3 linked regions of the Cricetulus griseus genome follow. The protein of the gene in region 1 binds, or shares a complex with, the protein of each later gene. Links are inferred from orthologs where the notes say so. Each region holds a gene or a part of one and is shown in the gene's direction. Other genes may lie near its edges.

The links.
Region 2: Cnot9 (region 1) and Cnot6l share a complex: the UniProt entries of both Homo sapiens proteins name them as parts of the CCR4-NOT complex. The link is inferred for Cricetulus griseus from reciprocal best matches to the Homo sapiens genes CNOT9 and CNOT6L.
Region 3: Cnot9 (region 1) and Cnot6 share a complex: the UniProt entries of both Homo sapiens proteins name them as parts of the CCR4-NOT complex. The link is inferred for Cricetulus griseus from reciprocal best matches to the Homo sapiens genes CNOT9 and CNOT6.

What each region holds. Positions count from the first base shown.
Region 1 is NC_048595.1:427,767,039-427,770,691, forward strand, and holds part of Cnot9 (CCR4-NOT transcription complex subunit 9), read left to right. Parts: intron 1-1,710; coding exon 1,711-1,820; intron 1,821-2,782; coding exon 2,783-2,892; intron 2,893-3,653. UniProt on the Homo sapiens protein: Component of the CCR4-NOT complex which is one of the major cellular mRNA deadenylases and is linked to various cellular processes including bulk mRNA degradation, miRNA-mediated repression, translational repression during translational initiation and general transcription regulation.
Region 2 is NW_023276807.1:158,440,472-158,444,124, reverse strand, and holds part of Cnot6l (CCR4-NOT transcription complex subunit 6-like), read left to right. Parts: intron 1-2,919; coding exon 2,920-3,147; intron 3,148-3,653. UniProt on the Homo sapiens protein: Has 3'-5' poly(A) exoribonuclease activity for synthetic poly(A) RNA substrate.
Region 3 is NC_048600.1:64,155,681-64,159,433, reverse strand, and holds the start of Cnot6 (CCR4-NOT transcription complex subunit 6), read left to right. Parts: upstream 1-1,017; 5' UTR 1,018-1,388; intron 1,389-3,753. UniProt on the Homo sapiens protein: Poly(A) nuclease with 3'-5' RNase activity.

The sequences.
Region 1 (3,653 bases):
CGTACCGCCTTTCTCAAGGTCTGGGATTATAGCTGTATACCACCATACCCACGTTTCTCTGGTTTTCTTTGACATTGACATAAGTATTTCTTTCTTCTTTTTTATTTATTTATTTGTTTATTATATATACAATGTCCTGCCTGCAGGCCAGAAGAGGGTGCCAGATCTCATTACAGATGGTTGTGAGCCATCATATGTTTGCTGGGAATTGAACTCAAAACCTCTAGAAAAACAGCCACTGCTCTTAACCTCTGAGCCATCTCTCCAGCCCCTGACATACATATTTCTACACTGTTAAGTTTGACAGCTATTTTTAGTTTCTAGCTACAGATTTGAAGTAAGTATAATGTGTTTTAAAAATGAAGAAGAATACAATTCCATACTTTTTTAACATCATAAAAACAATTTTCAAAATAGTAATAAACACTCTGAACATAAGCGGTTCAACTAATTTAGTGATTTGCTGTATCCTAAGAGAAAAGATTTTGCTTGGTTACCTTAAAAATATTTTCTGTCAGTGATTCAATCCCAAATATGAAACCAGAGCTTTAAGCCTGGCATGGCGTGATGGTTCAGACCTGTAATTCCAGCACTCAGAAGGCTAAGACAAGAGGCTTGCTACAGAATGAGGCCCTGTTTCAAAAAATCAAAATTAAGTAATTATTTTATGTTCATTTCATTTAAATCAGAGTCATAGCTTTGAAGTTTTAAAGAGTGATGTTCATATCACAGGAAAGTAAATATATTTAGGTACATAGGCACTTTTTTTTTTTTTAATCATAGTAGACACCTGGCCATGATTGTTATAACCATTACATGGCATATAGTAGGAACTCAGTAAATTTATTTTTGTTGTTTGCGAGGGTGGGGGGGAGTTATTTTGTTGTTTTTTTCCTTCCTCTGTAGCTTGGGAGCCTGTCCTGGAACTCTATCCGTAGAGCATGCTGGCCTCGAGCTCAACAGAGATAGATCCACATGCCTCTGCAGCCGTGCCCCCTCCCCCAAGTGCTGGGATTAAAAGTGTGTGCCATCCACCTGTCTGTCGTGTGTGTGTGTGTGTGTGTGTGTGTGTGACTAATGTAGCTTCTCATGTCACTTTTTTCTCTCTTCTCCTTCTCCTCTCCCTATCCTCCTCTCCTCTCCCCTCCCCGCTTCTCTTATCTTTTGGAGACAGTGTCTCCAGGCCGGCCCCAAACTCATGATTCTCCTAATTTAGGAGTACCCTTGAGTTGTAGGAACTCAACAACATTGCAACAACACATTAGTTTTAGCATTTATGACTTGATCTTTTTTAAACCTAACATCGAGAACTTTTGAGTTCATCAGGTTTTAAGGTATTTGGTGCAGACTGCAGATTGTGTTGGTTTACTCACCCTAGCCTGGGTGGTTGTTACACATTGACACTTGAGCTGTCTGTATGATGTGTCAGTGAGGGCAAGCAGGTATGCTTCTAAGCAGTAGTCATCTCTGGCCTCTGACTGTATGCTAAGTAGCCCTCAACATTTCTTGCTTCTGATAATCTCCAAACATTGGCACATGTCTCCTAGGGAACAAAATTACACATTTCAGAAGGTTGGTCAAGGCTAAAAACCAATAAAGTTCGTTTCTAAAGATTACTTACTCTGGTGATTTCACGTATTGTTTTAGGCTTAGACATTTGATGTCTAGAAGGCAGCTCTGAGGTCTAAATATGGTTGTTTTTTCTTTCAGGTCGGCTTTTCTCGCAGCACACATCCCACTTTTTTTGTACCCCTTTTTGCACACAGTCAGCAAAACTCGTCCCTTTGAGTATCTTCGGCTCACTAGCCTTGGAGTTATTGGTAAGTTATTTTATTATTTTTGTTTTGATTTTCTTGAGATGGTCTCATGTAGTATAGGCTGGCCTCAAGCTCACTATGTACCTGAGGATACCCTTGAATTTTTTAGTTTCTGATGGTTTAACCTCCACCTCCAAAGTGCTGGGATTATAGGCATACATCGCCATACTTAATGCAGTGCTGGGGATTGAACTCAGGGTAAGACTGAAATTCTTCTGGTCAATAGTGGTCTGAGTTGTATTTTGTACAACTTCTTATAGCTTATTCATTTTTTGTCTTTGACATCTCATTTACTGATAAGTGCTTGCAAAGTTAGCAGGCACCATTCTCAATGTTGCTAGTAAAGCTGTAAGGATCAATAATCATTTAGCATCAAGTTATAGAGGGAGTAAGGAATAACTTGATCGATCAACTTTTGGGGGGGGGTATTTGAGACAGGATTTTCTCTCTGGCTTTGGGGGCTGTCCTGGAACTAGCTCTTGAAGACCAGGCAGGTCTTGAACTCACAGAGATCCTCCTGCTTCTGCCTCCCAAGTGCTGGGATCAAAGGTGTGCGCCACCACCACCCTATTGATCAACTTTATCTAAGTTGAATGAACTTAGTTTAGTAACTCAGAGCCTTGTATTAGGCTAGTGTTCTTAACACTGAGCACTTTCTCCACTTGCTTTATTTTTATTTTTTAAATTTTGACACAACATCTCTTTAATTTGCCGGGGCTGGCCTTGAACTCAGCATTTCCCTGCCTATGCCTTCCCAATACTGGGATTGCACTCATGACTCTGCTGCTGACTCTTTTTTGTTGTTGTTGTTCAAATGAATATGAAACTGATTGCCTGACACAGAAACTACAGTCTGCATATCATATTACTTAAATTCCATAGCTTGCTTTGATGGGACAGTTCATAGTAAATGTAATTAGAAATAATTTCTTTAAAATAATTTTGTTTGTTCATATTTTCTTTAGGGGCCTTGGTTAAAACAGATGAACAAGAAGTAATCAACTTTTTATTGACAACAGAGATAATCCCTTTGTGTTTGCGCATTATGGAATCTGGAAGTGAACTTTCTAAAACGGTATGTGCTTTTAAGTGAGATTCAAAATTGTTTTGGCTCTCGAGCTCTTGCTTTGTGGCTCTAGAATCATTTTCTGCCTCTCCTGGGAAGTTAGAGCAAAAAGTCAAGGCAAGCACTGATGCAGAGACCATGGAGGAGTGCTGCTTACTAGCTGGTTTCATGTAGTTTGCTCAACCTGCTCTCTTAAAGCTATGTAGCCCTTACTGGCCTGATACTGTATAGCACAGGCAGACCTCAAATTTGGAACAGTCCTGCCTCAGGTTCCTGAGGACTGGAATTACGGACATGCAGCACCATACTAGGCTTTGTATTTAGCTTTCTTGTATGATACAACACCTTGATCATAGTAGGCACACATTAAAATAAAGGTTCTTGGTCAAGGCTGTTAATGAATGATGTAATAAACTGGGAAGTATTTTTAAAATATAGGGATATGGCTGGAGAGGTGGTTCAGTAGTTAAGAGCACTGGTTTGATTCCCATCACCTGTATGGTGGTGGCTCACAACCACCTATAACTCCAGTCCCAGGGGATCCGTTGCCCTCTTCTGGCCTCCGTGAGCACTGATTGTACATGGTGTACAGATACACATGAAGGCAGAATAGACAAATCTTTCATTTAAACATGGAGCTAGAGAAATGGCTTAGTAGTTGAGCACTTGCTGCACAACCATGTTCAAATTTAGCACCCGTGTATCAAGCTGGACATCCTGTGTATACCTATATCCCAACTCTGAGCAGATAAAGCTAGGAGAATCATGAG
Region 2 (3,653 bases), on another chromosome or scaffold:
CTTACAACTTATTACAAAATTATTTTCTTGTCTTTTGAGAATTGTTAATGGAGATGGACAAGAAAACAATATGAATTCTACAAATTTTATTTCTTGTGATTTCCTGACATTCTATAGTTTTTATCATTATTTTTACTTAACAAGGTAATACCTGCCTTTTTAACATACCATTAATTGAATAAGTTCTTTGATGTTTAGTTAGGCTGAATTAGAAGTTACCATGGCTTAGTCCTCTCTTGTGAATGTGAACCCTTTGTTTTTAATATGAAATAGTTGGCTTGTTTTCTTTAATTTCTTTGTTAAATTTCAAGTCTTTGTCAGGGTGAGAATGACATATTTTCTATGTGATACTTCCAGGGTTTTTAGATTATTCATAGCTTCCTTGAGAGTCAGAAATCTGTTGTGTGCTTGGCATTATTAAGATCTTTTGTTAGCCTCTCTCCTGCCTGCCTCAGAGCACTTTATTACTTATTAATGTTGCAGGCAAGAACAAGGTGGTAAGATGACATCAGTGCACTTCTCTCCCTGTGCTGCCTGTGGAAGAAAAGGCTGTCTTGAGTACTAGTTTGAATTATTCAGACTATACATATTGTTAAATTTCCCTTTTTTTCCTACAGTTCTTCAGTTTATCTGTTGTTAAACAAAAACAGCCTTTAATGTGAAATTTCATGTTTACTTTTTGTTTTTAGCCTTTTCAATATTTTTATGTATTTTTCCTATCACTTTCTTCCTGGTATATTTTGTTCTGCTTTTATAGAAATATACACCTTTGGGGTTTATCCCTTTTTAATTTATAGAAGAGTAATTCTGAATTACTTACTGCACACTTCTACTTCCTAAGATACATCCCTTATCCCTCTAGAAGGGGAATTTGGTGGGTAGGAGCAAATAGCTTTTTGGGGACATGTTTTTAATATTTAACATAGTAAACATTCACTTATAGCCATAAGTGACACTAAAACTTCTAGGAAAATGAGACAGCTTAGAAAAAAAATGTAAATTATTCCTTCAGTTTCATGTAACAGGTACTTTATTAATTTATTTTCTCAATGTTGAAGAAAATTAAATATAGTAAGATTGGAAGGAAGAATAATTTTACCTAAATATCAGACTTAGAAATTTGTCTTTTTTCTTTAGAGTTTCTATTTCAGTAGAAAAATCTGAGATATTCTTGTAGAAAACTTAGGTTTGCATGTTAACTGATACTTTAATAGTTCACAAGTATATAAACTTAAAAAGCAATAAGTTCCTGTGTCAGTCACACTCTAGAAATCTCCTCCTACTCATTTCTTTTTATGAATCCAAACATCTGAAATATGTGTATATAGATTTATGTTAAGTGACATTATACCATTAATATTTAATTTTATGCCTTGACTGTTTTAGGGTCATCTTTCGCCAGCACCTATTAAGTTTTCTTTTCACAATTTGTATTTAATATTATTACTTACCATGTCCACCTTTTGAAAAGTACTATGTTGATGTTTGACAGAATTTTAGGGAAAAAAGAATATATATATAGCTGAATTATCGTTTTACAAATTATTCGAGTATCAAAAACATTAAGTGGTTGACTACCCTGAATTCACACAAAGTAATTAGTAGTAAAAGCAGGTCAAAGATGAAAGTATCCAGACTTTTGAGAGCACATAATTCTCTGATTTTTGTTTTGAGGGTCATGGCTGCGTATGTGCCCAATATACATGCCTGGTACACATGGGAGCCAGAAGGGGTGTTGGATCTACTGGAAGTAGAGTTGCAGGTAGTTGTGAGCAGTCTGATGTCAGTGATAGAAACCAAATTCTGGTCCTCTTCAAGAGCAGCAAGTGCTCTTAAGCTCTGAGCCTTTATCCAGTCCCACAGTTTCCATTTTAAAATTAACTGGGGTCAGCTGAGGTGGCGCATGCCTTTAATTAATACCAGCACTCGGGAGACAGAGGTAGCCCAATCTCTGTGAGTTTGAGGACAGCCTGGTCTACATAGTGAGTTCCAGGACAGCCAGGGCTACACAGAGAAACCCTGACTTCAAAAATTAAAATAAGTAAATAAACTTTGAGGATTCAGTTGGGTAACAAATGTGCTTCCTTATTTCATTTTCTGTAGGTTCATATAATGTTACTAATTTTTCCTACTGACCTTTCACTATTAAGCTAGTGAAATGCAACACAGGTAACATATTATGTAGTGGCAAGATATTAAGTATTGGTTAATTCAGTTGGAAAAATCTCTCACTAGATTATTATGCTAATTAAATAAGAGGCACTTAAAAGTGCTTGCTTGGTACTAGAGAGGTGGCTTAGCAGTTAAGAGCATTCATTTTTCCAGAGGACTGGAATTTGGTTCCTAATAGCTGCATTGGGTGGCTCACAACCACCTTTAATTTCAGATACAAGAAATCCTGGTCTCTACAGGCACTATATTCATGTACCGACCTCATATTCCGATACATATACACACATCATTTAAAATTAAAATAACTTGTTTGCTTTAAGCTAAGAACTCAGCAGATGAATAGTACTATAACCCATATATTCATTATATTATGAAATAATTTCTAGTATAAACATGTACTATAATTGTTGATACTAAATATTTTAGGTTCTGTGGACCACATAGAGTCTGTTTGAAAAGTGTAAAACTACCTTTAGCTCACAAAGCCTGTAATAGAAATATGTAGTGGACCCAGGTTTATTCCATAGGCTGCCATTTGTTAACATGACCCTGATGAATAACTAATATATTGCAATTTCCAGAATTACCTTTTAGCTTGTCAGATAAGTGCAAGATAAAAATCAGTTTAAATTAATAGGAAAGAGTAAAGAAGTAGCAATGGATATTTTTCAGAGAACTTTTAAGGTACTACTCTCAAGAAACATAAACATAACTCTACATTTTCTTTTTTATGATGTTTAAATTTAGGTATGAAGCCTATTCATGCTGCAGACAAACAGCTGCTTATAGTGGCAAATGCCCACATGCATTGGGACCCAGAGTATTCTGATGTGAAACTTATTCAGACCATGATGTTTGTCTCAGAGGTTAAAAACATTCTGGAGAAAGCCTCAAGTAGGCCTGGCAGCCCAACCGCAGATCCTAATTCCATCCCGCTGGTGCTATGTGCAGATCTTAACTCATTGCCAGATTCAGGTATTTACAACATCATTTTTTTTACTTGCTTTCAGTTTTGCTTCTAATTTTGGTTGAAAGGCCACCTATCTCCTAACAGGGCTTTCTCTTCTAAATTAAAGAACATATCAATTGGAATTTGAGGGCTGAGACTGTGACTAATTGAAAAAATTTAATAAGGAGACTGATTCCAAAGGAGTGTTCAGTCTTAAGTAAAAAAAAAAAAAACAAAAACAAAAAAAAACAATGATTGCTTTTGTACTTTACCACTCCTACTCCTAACTGGGAAAATGGTGGGAGCTGTCATCAGAAATTGGAAGTATACAAGAGAGCCAATAATTGAGGTGATGGCTTAGAATTGAATGATTCAATCAGTGCCTGCCAGATTATAATAAGAAGGGAGATGTGGGAAGATAAACCCTTCTCTCACTCTTGCTCTGATCTGCCAGGGCTCCCCATTAATCAAGTCTAGATAGAAGCTATAGGGGTAGGGAAGTGAGGGTTTGTATCCATACAAGATCAACCTC
Region 3 (3,753 bases), on another chromosome or scaffold:
TTTGATTTGAACAGAACATCTGGTTCTTGGAAGAGCCTTTGTCCCTGGGAGCTTTGCTCTCCCAGCTCTCTCTGCCTCAGGCAATAGCCACCCATTTCCTACAGACTTCGGTGAGGGACAAGCATTTATTTATTTTTTCCTTGTTAGTTTCTGGAAACCATTTGACATTCATATCTTTTGGGCTGATTTGGCACGAGGTAGGGGGCAGCTATTTTCCTTCACACTATATCCTGCATAGCCAGTGCAGTTTGTCTGCCGGATATTACTCTTGCCCATACACTATGCAACGCTGACTCAAGACAAGGTGGAGTCTGATTAATCCCTGAGCCCAAAATACCAGTCAACTATTATTTCCTGACGTAAACATCATTAGTCAGCCCGTTTCTTTCCTGGTTTACCTGCAACCACCGTCTGCAGGTAATAACCCAGAAGAGATAAGACTGTGTTAGCCTTTGAATGCGGCTATGGTTCGTTACTTAAAACTAGGACTTTATCATCAAAAACTCCTACTGATTATTTTTTTTTTTTTTCTGCATAGTTAGGGCAGAAACAATGAGTCGAGTATTCAAGATTGAACGTTTTGTCTCTGGGCAGATCAAGACACTGGATAGGTTAAAAGTCTGAGTGCTTATCTGTGCTTCCAAGTGATTGACAGGTCAAGGAAAAGAAAAGTGAATGGAGAGGAGGAAAAATCAAGGGGAAAGTGGAGATAAAAGTGAGCGAGAAGGGAATAGGGAGCAGCTGAAACGGCGTTAGGACGGTGTTAGGAAGAGGAGGAGACAGTAGGCGTGGAGAAGGCTAGGCGCAAAGAGAGCGGGAAGAGAGGCAGGGCGGGCGGGCAGGAGCGCGCCGGGCCGGCTCACTGCTCCGCGACGCGGGGGAACGGAGACGAAGATCCACCCCCCTGCCTGACGCGAAATGGTCGCGCCCAGCAGTATCCTCCAATGGGAAGCCAGGATGTTGGCAAGGCGGCGGTGAGCGGGGCTCTCGCTGGCTGGGGTGGGAGGGGGACGGCGGCCGCCGCCATGATGCTTGTTTGCTTTCAATGAAAACGAGGGGGGCGCGGAAGAGGAGGCGTCGGCGTCGGTGGCGGCGGCGTCGACGGCGCGGAGGCGAAGGCGGCGGCGGCGCGGGCGAGGAGGGCGAGGCCGGGGGCCGAGAGGGCGGCAGAGCGTAGCGGCGGCTCGTGGGGTCCGGGCGGCCGAGGCGGGCGGCTGAGGAGCGGCGCCTGAGGGGGGAACAAAGAGCGGCGGCTGAGGCGGCTGAGGAGCGGCGGCGGCGCTGCAGCAGCGGGCGGGACTGGTATGGTGGTTCCACAGGGCAGACCCCGCTGCACTCACCGGGAGGAGGCGGCGGCAGCGGCGGAGGAAGGCGGCGCAGCTCGAGAGGTGAGCGCGACGGGCTCTGCGAAGTCCCGCCGAGGCTCGGCTGCCTGCGCTCTCCCATCCCCCGGGGGCCGTGCCCTGGGGACCTCGAGCGCGCACTCACACACAACTTAGTAGTTCTCGGAGTGACGTCTGCCGGTCCCCCTCCTGGACGCCGCAGTCACGATCCCGTCGGTCCCCGGGCCGCGCCCCCGCGCGGAGTCCCGGGGCTCGGCCGGGGGTGGGGGTGTTGATTGACGGCAGTGTGGTGGCGTACAGAGGCGGTGGCGTGGGCCTGAGCTTCTCGGACCCCCGGTTCTGGCCATGCGCATCTGGAGAGGAAGGAGCTGGTGTCCCGGGACTCCGGGCCAAGACCGGTGGCAACTTCGGTGAAGTGGTTGTGTGGGGTGGCGCACTGTGCGGCGTGGAACTTGGCACTCCGTGGACAAACTTAGCGCTCACCTTTTCCTTCCTCGAGTATTTTAAATAAGTCATTTTAACGCAGATATTTACTGTTAGGGCGGAGCGGATTACGTGGCCAAAGACGTAATTATCAGATGTAGAGATTATTGGACTCAGGACTCGAGTACTAATTCCTTGAAGAAATTTTCCCGAGTTTAACTAAAGCGAACCTAGACTTTTCATGTTTGAACGCCAGTGGTTATTTTCTTTGGTAACATTCCCCCCCTCCCCCGCCGGCTTCCCCCCTTTGACTCTTTCTGCTTTGACATAGTCTTCGGAGTCTGCTCACAAGCAACTGTAATCGTTGCTTTTAACTGTTAACTGCAAGTGACAACATTGTGAACAACGTCTTGTTACTGTGTTTAAATAATCTGCTTGAATTTGAGTACAGGCAAACCTGTTTTGCAGGTAGACTGCCGGATTATTGCTAGGGCTAAGTTCTTTGTTGCCTCTGTTTGGGATTGTTTGGAGAAGAGAGGGACTACGAATTAAGCGAAAACCAATTTGGTGTGTAATAGCACCGTTTTCCACAGTTCCCTAGAATTCTCCACCATTCATTCCACAGCAATTCTGTAGGCAAAAGGTTGTGAAGACATATTTTGCTTTTTGTAATTGCTGCCAGCCTTTTGAATTTGATGCTTTCTAGAATAAACTTTAGAGTTAAAATTACATGGAACTAGTGGTCTAGTCTTACGCTGCCCATGAGGAAACCGAACCCTAGAAAGAATAAGATGACTCGACCAAGGTATTGCAGTGAGTGAGGGTAAACATCAGGCTTTCTGTATTTGTGAAGACATGTAATTGCGGTATAATTATTAAGTATTTTTTTTTTTTTTTGAGAAGAAAGGGTTTTAGCCAATAGATACTGTTTGAGGTAGATCAATGTGGCCATTTCTTAGTAAGTGCACAAGGTGCTTGCTAACATGGACAAAATGTATGTGACAAAAAGCCATTTTTCTTGTGTGACTGGAGATGTCTCCTTGGAAGTCAGTCCGTGTGTAACTTCAGATGTTTCTGGTTGCTGGGAAATTTCAGGCTTTTTTTTTTTTTTCTTTTCTTTTTTTGAACAGATATTATACATGTAATTTTAACTAGTATTTTGGTTAATGTTTAGGCATCTACTGTACCCATGTTAACTTTAAAAGAAAAAAAGATCTCTATGTAGTCCTTGTGGGCCTTCCTGTCTTTGTCTCTGGAGTGCTGAGATTAAAGGTGTGCAGTACCACAACTAAGTTTTTTATACAGTGCAGCCCAGAAAGGTAATCTGTGTAAGATACTGGAATAATGGTTGAAGCAGCTTATAGTTGTATTTTTTGGCCCTTGTGTGATGAGAGAGTAAAATCTTCAGTTCGTTTGCAACCCTCTCCTATGTGCAAGATCTTCTGGTTAGGAAACTCTGGCTTAGATGTTTTGTCACTTTTGAGAATGCCCACATATATTCATCTAAAAATGTATACTTAAGATTTCTATTATAAATATGTAGTGGTATTTGTTGTGGAGAAGAAAGTTCTGGTTTTAATGTTTTCAAACTTTAGTTTCTACAAAATCTTTTTGCTTTAATTGTGCCTGTTATCAGGCTGTGGAGGTAACCTTGTTATAATGAAATGTGACTAATAAACACTACATGTAAGTTAAGTGCAGACTAAACCCAAGTATAATCTAACTACATGTGCATTTGAGTACAGTGGAATGCAGTAGAGTTTGAGTTTGGTGTTTGAATAAGTAATTAAAGAAGAAAAGAATGGTCATTTGAGTCCAAGATGGAGGCTCATTCGGGCTGCCTTTTACCCTCTGGGTTTTACTTTTCTTTTGTCCATTTATATTTTTCTGATAAGTTGCACATACAGGAATAGCATGTGATGGTCCTGAGGTAGTTGATGAAAGTTCAGAGGTGACCATATTCGGTTTCTACTTTCCTGTCCTTCGT